4 linked regions of the Drosophila melanogaster genome follow. The protein of the gene in region 2 interacts with the protein of the main gene of each other region in a pairwise test. Each region holds a gene or a part of one and is shown on either strand. Other genes may lie near its edges. The genes, in order: CG13634, LpR1, 7B2 and CG13678.

What was found.
Region 1: the proteins of LpR1 (region 2) and CG13634 interact in a two-hybrid assay, tested with the Drosophila melanogaster proteins (one large-scale study listed by BioGRID).
Region 3: the proteins of LpR1 (region 2) and 7B2 interact in a two-hybrid assay, tested with the Drosophila melanogaster proteins (one large-scale study listed by BioGRID).
Region 4: the proteins of LpR1 (region 2) and CG13678 interact in a two-hybrid assay, tested with the Drosophila melanogaster proteins (one large-scale study listed by BioGRID).

Annotation. Positions count from the first base shown.
Region 1 is NT_033777.3:24,787,735-24,792,077, forward strand, and holds CG13634 (uncharacterized protein), read right to left. Parts: upstream 2,403-4,343; 5' UTR 2,057-2,402; coding exon 1,987-2,056; intron 1,935-1,986; coding exon 616-1,934; 3' UTR 530-615; downstream 1-529.
Region 2 is NT_033777.3:25,757,304-25,762,019, reverse strand, and holds the start of LpR1 (lipophorin receptor 1), read left to right. Parts: upstream 1-1,697; 5' UTR 1,698-1,817; intron 1,818-2,734; 5' UTR 2,735-2,843; coding exon 2,844-3,228; intron 3,229-4,716.
Region 3 is NT_033777.3:5,374,828-5,378,480, forward strand, and holds 7B2 (7B2), read left to right. Parts: upstream 1-1,952; 5' UTR 1,953-2,104; coding exon 2,105-2,123; intron 2,124-2,171; coding exon 2,172-2,983; 3' UTR 2,984-3,148; downstream 3,149-3,653. Other genes in the region: CG14667 (uncharacterized protein), read left to right, coding at 264-389, 451-1,097, 1,160-1,273, 1,330-1,456. UniProt on the Drosophila melanogaster protein: Acts as a molecular chaperone for neuroendocrine convertase amon/PC2, preventing its premature activation in the regulated secretory pathway.
Region 4 is NT_037436.4:8,220,248-8,223,487, reverse strand, and holds CG13678 (uncharacterized protein), read right to left. Parts: upstream 1,348-3,240; 5' UTR 1,286-1,347; coding exon 1,274-1,285; intron 1,022-1,273; coding exon 647-1,021; 3' UTR 535-646; downstream 1-534.

The sequences.
Region 1 (4,343 bases), 970 kb from region 2:
TATTAAAACAAGCTTTAGGATTTTAAAATAATTTTTAACCTATATGTTAAAGATTATTTCAAATATTTGGCTTCTAGCCTTGCATTCCTTTATTTCAATTTGAAAGCTAATCAAACCACTTTCTGAAAATTTTGTAATATTTTCTCCTAATTACCGCCCCGCAGCCAAGCCATTGGTCTTTCCCCTTTAAAGTGAATTAACCAATCGGCGGGCAGCGGAGGCGTGACGCGGCTGCGTAGTGCATCCTGGCCAGCTTTCAGGAGCATCAACCCCCGAACGGTGACTCCGGCCGCATTGCCTGGCATCCTATCCAGGTGCCCTCGACCAGTCACAACGGAAACTCAGAACCAACTGCACGAAGGCAACGGAATGCGCGCTGATCACCATCAACGTCAAGTGAAAGCCATCGAACTCTGAATAATTGAGGAGTATTGATGAGCAGCAGCCAGGTGAAATCCTATTAGTGAAAATCCAACAAGTTCAAGAGTGCATCCGGACCACCGATCGATCCATGGATACGGCCAAGTTGGTAAGATTCGCTTAAAGCTTTTATTTTCAACCGCATCGGACGTACATAAATAGGGCTTAAACTAGGAGTCCTTCGAGGTGGTGGTCTTAGCCATAGCTCAGGGTGTAGCCCATGTTCTCCATGAGGGTCTCCTTGATGGCCGGCTGGAGCGCCCGCTGCATGTAGGTGGTCAGCAAGCCACGGACGCCCATGGAGAAGAGCTTCTCCAGCTCGTGAGACATGGCCTCGCCCACCAGCTCCTCACGATCTCCGGTGGGACTGGAGCCACTGCCGCTGAATATATCTGCAAAGGCTCTGGCATCCGGCTCCACCAGCTGCTGCAGCTGCTCATCCTCGAAGTGCAGCACATCCTCGCTGAAGTTCACCTGGTCCTCGAAGTTCTCTTTGGCGTAGCGCCGCCGGCGTCTCCTCTTTTTGCTGAACTGCCGCCGGTAGAAGTTGTCCCCGTTCACATCGATGAACTCACCCGAGTCCTGGGCCTGGCTATCGCTGCCCAGCTCCAGGCTGTACTCCTTAGTTCTTTGCGGCACCTGACCCTGGCGGATATCATAACCCGCCTGCTGATGGTATTTGCCCCACCTTTGTGGTCTCTTGCTGCCCAGTATCACGTGCGGTTCGCCCAGTTCCACTTCCGGAGCACTACCGAATCTCCGCTTGGAGTTCTGGCGCAGACGGATTCCAGTGGGTCCCTGGCATCCGTGAGCAAAGACCGATATAAATCCGGGCTCAGCGAAATGAGAGTCCGTGCGCACCGAGGCGGCTCCCAATCTCCGGGACTGCTCGTAGTTGGAGGCGTGTCCTGATCCCAGTGGAACCGTTCGAAACTCGATGCCCGCGTGTCGCAGTCTCAGAATCATGTGACACTTTCCGCCCATCGGCTGCATCACCACCTTGCCGCTGAGAGTAAGATCCGGAAAGATCAGGCGGGTGTCCAGCGTGGAGTTCTCAGTGCTGAATTTGCACTTGTCGATCTCAACCCACCGGTTGGCGGACTTCGCCGGCGGCACTCGCACCTTGAGATCCTCCACATCCACCCGGGAAATTGTCAGTTTGTGTGGTTGTCTGTGCTGCTGGCTCTGCTGATTCACCGCCAGCAAATCCTCCAGCTCTAGTGCACTGCTTGAATCGGAGAAGGGATTGGCTTGTCCATTTCGATGCAGCAACTTGGCGTGATAGCCACGTCCGCTGCTGTAGGCACCCACATTGTAGAAGTCATCCTCCGGATCACTGTGCTGTCCGTAGAAACTGTGGTACAACTGGTAGGGACTCTGCGGTGGCGGCTCCCACATGGCGCGCGATGCGGAGGAGCTCTTGGTCTGCACACTGCGTCGACGCATGTGCTCCAGTGCATTCTCCAGCCGGTTGGAGCATCGGTGGGGCAACTGGTACGGCTGACAGAGGGTCACTAAAGAGCGTGTGTTAGCAGAATTGTCTACGATGCAGTGGTGGTAACTTACCCGCCAGCAGAGAACACATGGCCAGCAGAAAGTACAGCCAATTGAAATCCCGGCTCACGTATCCTGACATGGCGGTATTCCAAACATGGAGTGGGGTAATCTTTTTTACTCAGGCTGTAAGTCCTTAGAATCCTTGTTTTTTAGGCTTTTGAAATCTGTTAGTTCTCACTGGATTTTAAACTTTTTATTCACAAAATCACAAGACACATTAATGTTTTTCAAAAATATTTATTATCAAATGGTAATGCGTTTCTTCTTTTATATAAAGAACGTTTGTCGATTATATTTCAGTTCGTTCGTTAATAAAATTTAAACTGCAATTTATGTTAGCTACTTTTCCAGAACTTGGATTGTAATATCTTAATAGTACAATGTTGTTGGGTTATCTTTTGAAAGAATCCTTAAGTTGGCCAGAAAACACCTCCGAACTCGCCCGCAGCTGAACCGAAAATGCGACTCCCAAGACCAAGCGGAGCGAGAAACTGGCTCGGTCGCGCTTCCATTGCCACCAAAACCAAAAAGACACCCACAAGAAGACGGAGAAGAGCATAGCCATAGCCATCGTGATGGTGACGACCGTGTCACTGCCTCATCATGTGCAGTGAAAGTGTTTTCCACGACGGATCCATAGCCAGAGTTAAAAAAGAGACAGAGATTCGGAGTCCCAGTCATCCAAGTCGAGCCACACACACAGAAAAACGAAAAAAAAAAACAGAAGAAAAAAGACGCCAGCTAAAACAATTTGGAAAAAGAAAAGCATTGTCTTCTGCGAGCCCATGGGTCTCAGTCCACCACCCACCGCTCCCTTGGGCGGCTGCAAACTAGATCAGTACATATACCTTATATGTATATAATAGCATACCATACCAAACCATACGATACCATACCGAAAGGTAAACACACGACTGGAGTTTCGTAATGTCAGTTGCGGGCGCGCATGCGTCGTAATCTCTGCGAGTATGTGCACCATTGTTCGCCAGGGTTCAAAGTTGATCAATCCGTCGGATGAGTCAGTCACCCAGCGCCACAGTTTGTTTTCCCAATTGCACTTGTAATTGGCACCAATTGCGCATACAAATTAGGGCCTAATGGGTGTGGGCCCATAGGTACTATATAAGGTACAAATGGTTCAATATGCATCATATCTGCAGTTTAATTGAATTGAGAAATAATTTATTAGAAATCTTGCATTTTTAATAACTAAAGTGGAAATTCAGTGGAACCTTTCTTTGAAAAAAGTATTACGCTAATGATATGAAGAGCTATTATGATCGATATTAATATTCGTCATTTATGATCATTGATATATTTGGTATATGTAGCTAAAGAAATATCTCATAAATGGTATTGCTATCTTTCTGATATAGAGTATTCCTTAGTTATGGTAACCCATCCAAAAAGTGGTTCCCTGTTGCACCTGCGCACGTGTGGCAGGTGACATCGCTTGGCTGGCTGCCGCTGCGATTTTTTTTTCTTTTTGTTAAATTTTTTAGCTGCTTGCACACGACAGTTACACTAAATAACTGCTGTAATTTGATTTGACAAATTGTTTGCTTGCACTTAACGAACGCGATTCAGCGACACATTTTGCAATTTATCAAAAATTTGTGCGCGCAAAAAGCGGAAGAGAATTGCCAAATCCGTGATCCAACCAGTTGAATGTATCATTGTCAAGATTTATATAACCCCCGATTTGGGGGGGAGAAAGTCGAGCATTCTGCACTTCTTATGGCCCAAACTGGAGAAAAGGGACGGCACGGTGCCGCTTTCTGCGTTTCCACCAAAAGTTTTTCTCTATTTTCATACCAACTGGAAGTTGGCATGGTGTATTGCCGATAGAGCCGAACCAAACCGGCAGCGATTACGGGCACGTAATTAAGGGTAACTATCTCGAATGGTTCTCGGATGCGACGGAGCAAATCCAGATGGCACATGGTGGTGCATCGCAGCGCTTGCTGCTCCAGTTTGTCCAAATGTCAGGCAAGGGACTCGAATTGGGGTCAGTGTTGGATGCACTTCGTCATGGAGGCCCGACTGATTGGGCTCCGTAAGCAAACAACGGATGGAAAACCTTAAAGAAACACTATTGTCTTTCTTTCTTGGACTGATGCTCGATTTGTTTTAAATGCCTAAAGCAATCACTTGAAGATCGACCTACATTCAAAAGTAGGTTGGGAAATCGATGGGTGTTTGAATTTGTTTGGATTTCAATATGATATATTACTTAGTTTCTAGTGCAAGTTAAGTAAGATAGACATTCCATTGATGGGTATTCCATTAAATCAAAATGATTTCTTTGAAGAAGTTCCATTGAGGTATGAGCTTGCCACAGTAGTTCTATCCCCTGCCTTGTATCG
Region 2 (4,716 bases):
GTGGACCGTTACGCCGGAGAATCCATGACAAATGCAGATGACGCCCAAGCACCGATGACGATGGTGATTGCAATGCAATCTAATGGCTGATATGATGGTGATTGTGATTGCGGGTTTGATTGAGATTTCCATTGGTACTGGGATGCTGCTAGTGCCGATAATTGTTTTGAAGATGACGCATTTTAAATGACTGACCCTAACCGAACCCATTGTCCGCTGGCTGCGATTTTTCACCGCCTCTTATCATCGACGTCAGTCAACGCAACTCTAACCAAGCCAAAAGCCAATGAAATCAAATCCACGACACTCCAGTTCAATTTCGAATTTCACACCACTTTCAATCGGACCCACACCTGGTTTGATTGAAAGCGGCGACACTTTCAATGCTAATGAGCTGCGATTCCGTTTACCAATCGCCGAAAGGCATTTCAGTTCGCATCGGTCTTCGCTGGGCATCACACCGTAAAACCTTCCGGGTCCCAAAAAAAAATCAAAAGAATTAAGTATATTCAAAATACCTATTTGATACCTGGATATAGTTTCGGTGGGCCCATGCAGAACGTCACGACTGTCGTACGATTATCGGCACAATTCTCACGTCCGGTTGTCCAGCTTAATTAAAAAATATCTTTGTTTTTCGCACTGATAAACGCGGTGGCAACGCAAAAAGGAAGTCTAGATACATACAGTCTGAAAAACGTATTTTCGTACAGTACGATGTTTAAAAGTGATCTCTGTGTGCTGATTGTGATCTCCTTGGCGTTTTCCTTACATTCAGGTTGGTACTGTAGAAAATAGGATTTTTTCCGAGGTCTGAAACTGCTCTTAATTCGGAGCCCTTAACCACTTATTTTTAATTAGACTTTAATATCAGATTGAATAATTGGCTGACCAATTACATGTACATCTAAGTACACTTTGTGCGATTACCCTATATAACCTTTGTTGGTTCGCAAACATCATTCTCAAGTTAGCACTTGAGTCCTTCTTTTTCTTTCTCAGGGGATATTTGCCCAACTTGAGTATAAAATAACAAAACGTATTTTTAAATTAAAGTGGATTCTTGGCATTACGACAAGATAATTATCACTACTTATTCAATATATTTCCACGGAATTCTGTCTAGTTGTGAAATCAGTCGCAATATTCCGAAAGTAGTATGATCCCTTATCATAAAAAATACTTTAATTTCTAAGGCGTAGGTTTATAACTTAAGAAATGATTGATCGATTCTTAATAGCTGGGATTCGTTAGCATGTTGCTTTTGTTTTTTAAATAAATTATCTCAGTTGAAGAAGCATTTAAAATTCTTGTAGTTTTTAAACAATGCTTCTGTAATAGTTGTATCTATAGATCGCCCAACGATTCCTTGCCCAATCTATCCATTCACATCAACGTACGCTCCATTGATCACTGATCAACTGGTTTGCCTTAAGAGCACCTTGTACGTTAGTAATCTTTTGGGGAGCTAAGAGTGGAATACAGCATCGATTAAATTCAGAGAGTGCTCCGATCTGCCAGATCACTCTTTATGTATCTCTTCGACGGGGTCTGGTCAGTTTCTTGTCAGTTTTGATAAGGCCACCTTAAGACGGTGCAAAAACAAGCACAATCGCAAACGACAGTTACTCTCGGCTCTCGAATTAAAATCGCTGGCGATTCGCTTAAATTTGCAGGCCAATTCTCTAAGCGAATTCAGTTGAAAAAGGCGCGTTGTGCGAAACGGGCATCACAGTTTTTTGCGGTTTATTTTCAACTTAAAAACCAAATAAAAAACACAAAAGAAACAAACAAAGCGAAATAAAAACAAACCTCATGTAATTCAAACATTCTACAGATTTAAATGCAATGATCTGTTTCTGAAATAAATTTGGAAAGACGCGATTAGCACGTGCCGCACATTCGCAGACACCTTGAAAATACCGCAAAAATAAATCAAAATAAAAGGCAAAACTGATAAGAGTTTATTTATCCGGGCGATTTGACGCGTGCTAGCTACAAATATCGGCAACAACAATATTTAATTAATTTATTTGCGCGATCGGAGGGGGCGTGGCCGTCCGCTCAACTAAATTTTAAATTATACTTCGGCTTTATTAATTGCCAACGTCAACAGAAACGTTTTTGTTTCTCTATAAAAATTAAGGGAAAACTTGTTTTTCTTGCTAATATACAATTATTATCAAATATTTTACTTATCGTTTATAATTTCCATATTTTACTCAAAATAAATGTTATTTCTCGTTAAGTACATATATAATTATTTTCAAAGTTTAATATATAAATGAATTTTCTGTGTAATTTTATGCGTTGCTTTTTTTCTCTCTTCGCATTTTTCGGTGATTTTGTTGTTGTCCGATATTTTTGCTTAAATTTTTTTTTTTCGGCCTTTTCGGTTTTTGTATTTTTTTTTAGCTACGTCGCGTTTTTGTGTGTCGCACGATTTTCAACCAGTTTCTTCAGTCTTCTCATCTCGAAATAAGAAATGTGAAGAGAGACGAAAGTAAAAGAGAATTGGCCGGATCGTGTGTTTATTTTATTTTTTGGCTGGCAAGCGATTCTTCCAATGTTTTTGCGTTAATGCTTGCGTTTATTTTTACGTTGACGCTGGTTCTTTTGGCCATTTCTCTGATTAGATAATCTCTGGCGAAGATCTCACGCTTCCTGCTTAGATAATCTATTCAACCAGGGTCACCAGAAATCACCCCACTTAATTTTCCCCTATCGAATACAGTGTCTATACAAACCTTGTAAGATCGAAGTGATAAAAGTGTGAAAAAAGCATTAAACAGACAGCATAAATTAAAGCAAAAGAAGAGTGAAGGCAAGCAAAATACCGTACCATGGCCATAGAGTCACGCTCTACGAGCACTGCAAGTGAAACCACAAAAACCGCCATAAAATCAACCACAAGCTCAAAATCTCCAGTAACATTCGGTAATCTCGGCGAGAAAAGACGCGCCGAACAGCTGTTCCGCTGCGCATGCGCCAACTTCAATCTCCTGCTCCTGACTTTAATGCTCGGATTCGGCAAATGCTGCACTGCCACGCCCACGCCGCTGAACACGCCCTCAACGAACACGCCCACCTCGGCAGTTAGCCCACATAATCCACAAACGCTGGACGAGAGCGGATCGCTGAGCAAGGTGATCGATGGCAAAGCCTTCATCAACATGGGATTCAAGTTCCTCAACGTTTCCGGAAAGATTGGCACACCCCTCGGCATAGGTGAGAAATGCATTGGCTGATTGAAAAAACCGGCGAAAATAGCGAAAAACCAGAAAAAAAGATCGCACAAGGGGGGGCACAAAGTGCGATGTTTGTTTATAGCCTAGCTTGTGCTAATTTTAGACCACAGATGTCGTCGAGGTTGAAGTCGAAAATGAAGTTTGGATACCCTGGCTTGGGGTATATATAAAATGATTCATTTAATCTTTTCAACTTGATGCCTATTTACAAATATGTAAAATGAAAAAAAATTTGTATTAATAACTGCGTTGTAGAACAAAGTAAAGTACTTAGCTTGAGCTGATAACTTAAAATTAAAGCGCGTGCAATCGAATTACAATTTAATCGTTAAAGAATTATCAACCAATGCTAAGAAGCTTTTCATTAAACTTTATTAAGCTGATAGTGTTTGAGTATTTAGTTATTAAATTATCCCCAAGCCATTGAGCAATGTAAACGATTATTTCAAAATATTACATTATCTTCGCAACTCCAAGCAATCCTCTTTGAATGGAAAGTAAGCAGTTTTGACTTATATGAGTCAATAATAACATTTAAGATATATGGCCTTTCCATTATACTGCTTAATTTATAATCATCACAATCTTGGTCACAAGGGTATCACCTGCATGTCGAGTCATTCAAATGGCTTTGCTCACTTCACACTTCGTGCACTTAAAATGGGCTCAGTTAAAAAGATACAGATACAAGCACTAATGCAGTTGCAGATACAGATACAAAAGTGCACCTTCCACTTGTTGCACACACACAGACGGTATGCGGACCTACTGTTACCGTGGTATCGAAATAGCCGAGAATTTTTTATCCACTTCCGCATTGATTTCCGCCTGGCTGACCATCGAGAATCTGTATCTTCTAATGGCTAAGCGATAGGAAAAGCGTTTGGCGTCTATCTGTGACGTTATTTTGTGGCGCGGGGCATTCCAATCATAAATCTAACTTTAAATCTAGCCACCTGTTTTGGCCAATATGGATTTACGTTTAGTGCTAGCCCCGAACTGGGGATTATCTTATCGGTCAATTTTACGATTTGTTTTTATGCATTTTTCGACCGCCGGGATTTCGCGACTTGAAGATAAGTGGACAATAAAGGGCAGTCAGACAATAGAAATTTCCTTCTATAAATCAAGAATTAATGGATTGATAGTGCAAGGAGCTTTGAATTGGTGCCATAAGTCATTCAAATGATCTTGAAAACATATAGATAAAAGAATATGAAGTGTGAAAACTACGATTGTTATAAATTAATATTTAATTTTTAAGACGTATTAGAGCAGTTATCCTAACCAAAATAATTTATTTTTATTGTTCACACATTTTGGTTTGAAACTATTTTTAAATAGCTAAATTTTTTAAGCAGTTCGCACTTTTGAAAATCAATCAACATATTGAGTGCCAAAAAATAGTCTTAAGGCTAAATCTGCCACATTTACTTGCATTTTTGTACTTTGCTCTTGGGAATCTTGG
Region 3 (3,653 bases), about 20 Mb from region 2:
AATTTGATTTTTTAATTTTAATGGTTCTTTTTGGATTTACAAGCTTCTAACCTAAATTAAACAAGCGCATGTTGTATCGTTTTAACTATTAATAAAATCAAATGAATAAAAAATCTTTTTGCGCTATAAAAATGTATCTGACTATCGGATTCACCGATAACAAATCGATTAAGCACTGTCGTTTTTCCAACTGTTTTATGATCTGGTAACACTTTCCGTCGCTGCGTTTTATGCTAAAAGTAAACACATTAACTTGATAAACAATGAACCTCGCCGACGTTTGCCGTATTTGCGCCAACAAAATTATGGGCCACCAGCGAGATCGCAACATATTCATTCACATGCGGGGAAAATATTTGGGTCAACTGAAGCTAATCACGGGAGTGGAGGTAGGTCGTTATGTCAGCTTCCGACCGCGCCAACAATTGTTATTACCTGGAATTTGTTCAGCTGACAAGAAACCAGGGGCTGCCGGAGATTGTTTGCGAGCGCTGCTTCTCCGAGCTGGACCTGGCCACCAAGTTCCGCGAGCGGTGCATCTTCTCGCAAAAGTACCTGCTGGATATCATAAAGAAGACCAGTGATCAAAGCACTGTTCACGTTGAGCTTAGTTCCGAGCCGCTGGACGAGCAACTGATCGATGCGGATCAATTGGAGACGCACTACGATGACGACCAGTACGTTTGTTATCAAGGCACGAAAGAGGAACACCAAGACCTAGAGGAAATCGAGCTGGATGACGACCCCTCTGCCGCTGTGATAGCGGCAGCAGAGGCGGCAGCAGAAGCGGCGCAGCAGGAGGATCTACAGGAGCAGGAAATGGAGCGGGCCGCCAAGAGGCGCAGTAACTTCTTTATCTGCGACGAGTGTGGAACCCTGTTCCACGATGCGTTCCTGTACACCGAGCATTTAAATGGGCACCAGAACCGGCGGGATATGAACCAGTTCTTCCCCTGCCCTGAGTGCCCACAGACTTTTAACAAGAAGGCGCTTCTCAAGCAGCATCGCACCCAGGTTCATTTAATTAACCGCAGGTTCCAGTGCACCATCTGCCACGAGGCTTTCGCGTCTCTGGGCGCTAAGTTGCGGCACGACAAGTAAGGAGGCTGGGAATTGAATGCTAGCGCAGCACTATATGCAACTTCCAATTTCATTTTAGAGCCCATAAGAACGAACGACCTTATCCATGCCTAGAATGCGGAATGATCTTCAGCAGCGTTTCCGAATTGCAGAACCACTTTTCGACACACTCAAAGCAAATCCGAAAGTTCAGGTAAGCTTGTCAGCTTGCGCAGTCATATGTCTTAATATCGTATTTTTTGCGTTTAGGTGTGAGCCTTGCAACATGGATTTTATAACTCGCCGAGGCTTGGTGGCCCATACAAAAACAGCACCGCATAAGCGCCTTGCCAAATATATGCAGGATGAATTCGATTTCATCGAATTGGCAACCTAACCCTCAATTATTACCACCTTCTTTCTAAGTAAATGCTAAGGTCAAAAAAATAAATCATAATTGAGTAGTTCAGTTTACTACTTCGCTACCATAATATTCGACAATGGAGTATCGGTTCAATGTTATTTTTTTATAAGTGTATTTTTAATTTATTGAAAATAAAATTCCTTCAGTTTTACTTTCAAGTCATTTTTTATAGTTCATACTTTTAAATTAAGGAGGGAATGGAAATTTATAGCGTATTACCGTGTAACATAAACCTCTAGTCATACAATTCAAGAAAATAAAGTTTTCTTAGCGACTAAGTTTTCTTATTTTCTTCCAGCATTTTATACTAATAAAGCTTAAAGAGGCCTGAAAACCTCAGCTCCAGCAGTTTGGCGCTAATCTAATTCTCGGCCCCCCACAGGACTGCTTCAACATAAAAGAGCTTTCGAGTACGGCGCATGCGTCCTTTCAGCTGTGGCTGCCATAAGGCAGCTTCGATTGGATCTGCGTATATTTCGCAAATTCAACTGGTAGCCGCCGCACGAAGCACAGAGCCCTACGTCACGTTAGTATATACACGGAATCGGAGCAGCTGCCGCCGAAAAATCAATACCTTACCAAACTTCGACGTGGACGGTTGAAACCGCTTGGAATCGCAATATGTTGTTCCGTTCGCAAAGTAAGTCTGCTGAAGTAATATTTATAGGTGGGTGAGGTAAGAGAATAGCCCATGTTTTTCCAGGTGTGTACATGATGGTGGCGATGCTCGTGGTCGCCTTGAGTGGCTACCAGGTGCAGTCCTATAGCGCCAAGGATATTCTTGCCGATGTCTTGATGACGGATCTGCTGAATCGCATGGACAAAGACATGCAGGTGGGCTATTACGACGTGGGCAACGAGGCAGCCGCTGGCTCCAAGGACAACGTGGACCTGGTCTCCCGGTCGGAGTACGCGAGGCTGTGTGACGGCGGAAGCGACTGCATCCTGCAATCGGGCTCGGCATCGGGAGCTGCCTCCCATCCTTCGCTGCGGGATGACGAGTTTCTGCAGCACAGTTCGCTGTGGGGTCACCAGTTCATCTCCGGCGGAATGGGAGAGGGTCCCAACAGGTATCCCACTATAGTGAAGAACGACGCCGGCCTGCCTGCCTACTGCAACCCTCCTAATCCCTGCCCTGAGGGCTACGACATGGAGACGCAAGGCGGCAGCTGCATTGTCGACTTCGAAAACACGGCCATCTTCAGCCGGGAGTTCCAGGCCGCTCAGGACTGTACCTGCGACAACGAGCATATGTTCGACTGCTCGGAACAGGATAGTGCTGATGTGGGCGGCGACAAGGGTGACCTGAACTCCGCCGTGGAGCAGTACATCATGCAGATGGGCCAGGAGAACAGCCTGAACAACGTTAACAGCCTGGCTAAGAAGGCCGGATATCCTGTGATGCCCGATCCTCGGCTGGACGACGCGGTCATAAACCCGTTCCTCCAGGGCGACCGCTTGCCCATAGCCGCCAAGAAGGGCAACCTTTTATTCCACTAAGGTAACTCGCTGATAACGCGAGCATACACGACGTTTCCATATGGGTGTCTAATACTATTATCTATCATAGCTGGTTATCAATGTTGTCCCGCAAGCGATGTCTAGTAATGTTTCTACCCTTTCCCGAAAATAAAGTTATTCGTATAGTACCAGGGCTCTAAGCCGAAAATATGCGGGTATTGGTCTAAACTTGGGGTAGGGTCTCCACTACCGAAGGTGGGTTCGGATGTAGCTTATCCTTGGGATGACCCAAGTTTGATGAGAGTGAGAAATATCGAATATCTGTTTGATGCTTCTATTTATTGTTTTAAAAAGTTTTACAATCCATCAAATCATCAATGATTATTCATTTAAAAAGAACTATCCTCGATATGTCGTCGAGTGTACAAATAGGCCACTGCGGTTCAGCTCCACGTTGAGTATTTTGTGTCAGCATGCACTGGCCGCGTGTTTCGGATGATCCACGCGGGTATTGACTTAAAGATAACCTAACAAATGATAGTATAGTACATCGCATGAATGTTGCTGCCACAGTGGGCGATCAGCCACCCAATTATTGGCACACATCGACACTGGCAGTGTGATTAGCTAAGCATAATGTTCGTTCTGTTGCCATGAAGCCTTATGAACGACCTGATCCTTCTGAGCCAGAGTGTCCTGGCTCTCACTC
Region 4 (3,240 bases), on a different chromosome or scaffold from region 2:
GGTGTTTTCGGCTTTGAGCCGGAGGAATTCGAGAATTGGGGATGGAGGACGGAGAACGGAGAATGAAGGATGCTAACCCATATTTTGGTGGCTTGCGGTTGCTGCGGCAATTTCGGTTTTCGCAGGCTTCAGGATGTACGTACTACGTACGAGTACATATCCAAACTCATTGAAGCCTGCGGCTGGAGCCCGACAATTTCATCGCAGATGAAAGAGGCTTCCATGCTCATTTATATGCAGGCCCAATCCGCAGCCTCGACATATAGCAATAATTGAACGCTTAGCTTGAATGGCCGCAAAAAACCGCTCGCTAATGGAGCATTTAAATATGCGAATGCCAGTGCTTGGCATGCTAATCCATAAAACTGTAATCTCACATGTTATATGAATAGTTTTGAAGTCAGCTAAAATATGTACTTTGCAAGTAGTAACTAGAACTCATAATGGATTGATAAATGAGATACCCTTAAGATTGCTAAAGTTAATTACTTTTGAAAGCTATAAACCCATAAATGAAAAACAATTATAACATGTAGATTCTAAACGGTTTAATGCATCACAAGTAGGGGTTGCATGGAAAATAAATGCCAGTCCATGAGCCAAGCTCATGGGGCAATATCTTCCGCAGGGTTTACAATCCATGGATTTACTTCTTCAGCAGCAGAGGAGCGGCAGCAGCGGCGACATAGGGACGAGCCACATAGGGCGAGCTGTAGGCCAGGGGCGAGGTGTAGGCGGCGGCGTAGGGCGTGGCAAATCGGGTGTAGGGAGCGGTGTAGGCGGCAGCCAGAGGAGCAGCAATGGGAGCGGTATAGGCGGCGGCAACTGGAGCGGCATAGGAAGCTGGGAAGGCGGCGCTGTGGGCCACCGAGTGGGCGGTGTAGCTGGAGGCGTAGGGAGCCACGTAGGCGGCACTGCCCACCACAGCCGGAGCGGTGTAGGCCAGAGGAGCGGCGGCCAGAGGAGCCAAAATTCCAGGCTTGGCAGCAGCCACAGCCACAACAGCGAAGAAGATAGCAGCCTAAATGGTGGAAGTTTCAATGTAAGTGTTAAGTGAAGTAATATTAAAAGAATTACTACAAAAATTAATATTTAAAATGATTTAAGTTCTGCAAATGGAACTCATTCTTATAAGGTTACTTAAAATGGTTTTCTCAGATATCTACTATCTTTTGCAATATTTTGTTTAAATATCAGTTATACTTTTTATATTAGTTTATAAAGGCTTCCTTCTCCTTCAAAACTTCGTTCTAAATAGTTTTCCTGTACTTACGAATTTGAACATGTTGATGTATTGGTTTTCTTTTTGGATTGTCACTTGGTAGATGGCCAATTGGTTTGTGATGTCCAACAGCCAGCTGCACGACTCTTTTATAGCCACTTACACTTTTCGAGCTATTTACCAATGCAGATCACGCTTTTAGATCAGCCATCGATGGTTGCCAAGTCAACGACTTTCGATTGACGTTGCGCATGCGCAATTCTTGGCTACTGTTTTTGAATTTGTTTTTTTTTTTTCTTTCAATTTTTTCGTTTTAGTTTTCGTGGTCTAGACCTGACCATGTCTTATTTTTGGTGCGTGCCTGAACGTCCGTTACTCGGCGATTTGTCCCTGACCTTGACGACTGCAATGGGCTTACAATTTAATGGGTCTTACGGGTTTAACCGCCAACGAAAAGGTAGCTGAAGTTCGAGTGATTTATGAGTGTTATGCCGGGCCGATATCAGGAAATTATCAAGTCATTCCGCTCCATTACCATTCGCCTGTTTGCCTATTTTAATAGACCACAATAAATCCGGCTAATCACTGTCTAATTATCCGCTCTCACCGCTGGAAGAACCGAAATTAATTAATAAATGTCACAAATTGCGGGCAAAGAGCTTAGAACTCACTAATTAGAAATATCGAGTGCAGGCCGCCGCCGTGTGTGGTAAAGCGTACGTCACAAGGATGCACCACCACAAAGGCCACTCCACCCAACTCCACCCAACTTCACCCACTTCTTGCAGGCTGTTCGGGAACACATATCCTGATGCTCCTGCTGCGCCAGGCTCACACTTGAAAAAGTGTTGAAGCGTGAATTTTGCTTAAAAATGCCAATTACGCGATTTCAGCAGCGCAATGGATTGGTGGATGGTGGCTATAAAGCACCGCTCAAAATGGGCGGTGAATTTCAGGGGGTGTGGCAACATACACACAGAAAAAATGATGTGCAATTACATATGTATATTATTCTAATATATAAAAACTATATTACTATTATATTATTTGAGGCCACTTTCCTAAAAATTTTGTTAAATAAACAATATTTGATTTGTTGTATATATAAATATATTTTGCTGCAAGAGTTGGTTGGTCTTTTCGACGACTACAGCAAATTGTTGCCGTTCTCCTTCGGGTTTGCTTTTCAGCCGCTTTCGATGATGATGTTGCAGGCGAAGGATTTGGCGCGCATCCTGCCACTTCCTTGCCTCCTTTTGTGCAGCTCAAGTGTTTGCCATGTGCCTGTGCATACGAGCCAGCCTATTGCCATCCGTGGATGTGCTCCCTCGTGGATGTGGAGGAGTAAGGGGATGTGGATGTGGTGTCTACTAAATGCACAATCATGCAGCTGGCAGCGGGGCATGTATTGAGAACAGCAAACGGCAACCGCAGGCGGCAAACATATTTGTTTTGACACTTGACTTCCCTCCTGGCCACCAGGCTGCTTTCATTGTCAAGTTTGCGGCGAGGACTTGCTACTGAAATTATTATATTGGTTAATCCGCCTAAAAGCTTTGATGGCACATCCGCCCCCCAAATGGCAGCCATCTCGAGTGCCCACAACTTTCGAGTGGCCCGAACGGGGAGCATATCAAAGAGCAGTCCCCTGGGAGAAGGCAAGAGCACCCGGAGTCGGAGCTGGGGATAATGTATATGTATCCACGAGTGCCGGCAAGTAATTAAAAAGCAAGAAATTTCCACAAAAAGTCGCGCACAAAAATCGCTCCGTTTGACATGGACAAAGCTTGGGACGAGGACTTTGGAACCAAAAGAAGTGAGCAACGCATCAAGCTCGACTTCAAGGATATCCATAACTTATGAACTAAATTAACTAAACATATATGTATTTTTTAATTAAAAGTTACTACTAAAATTTTATGTCTATACTAAACTAAAACGTTCAACCAAAATAAGTAAAAAGTTTAAAATTAAAACATTACTCAGCTATACCAACTCTAATAGGCTGTTAAAAAATT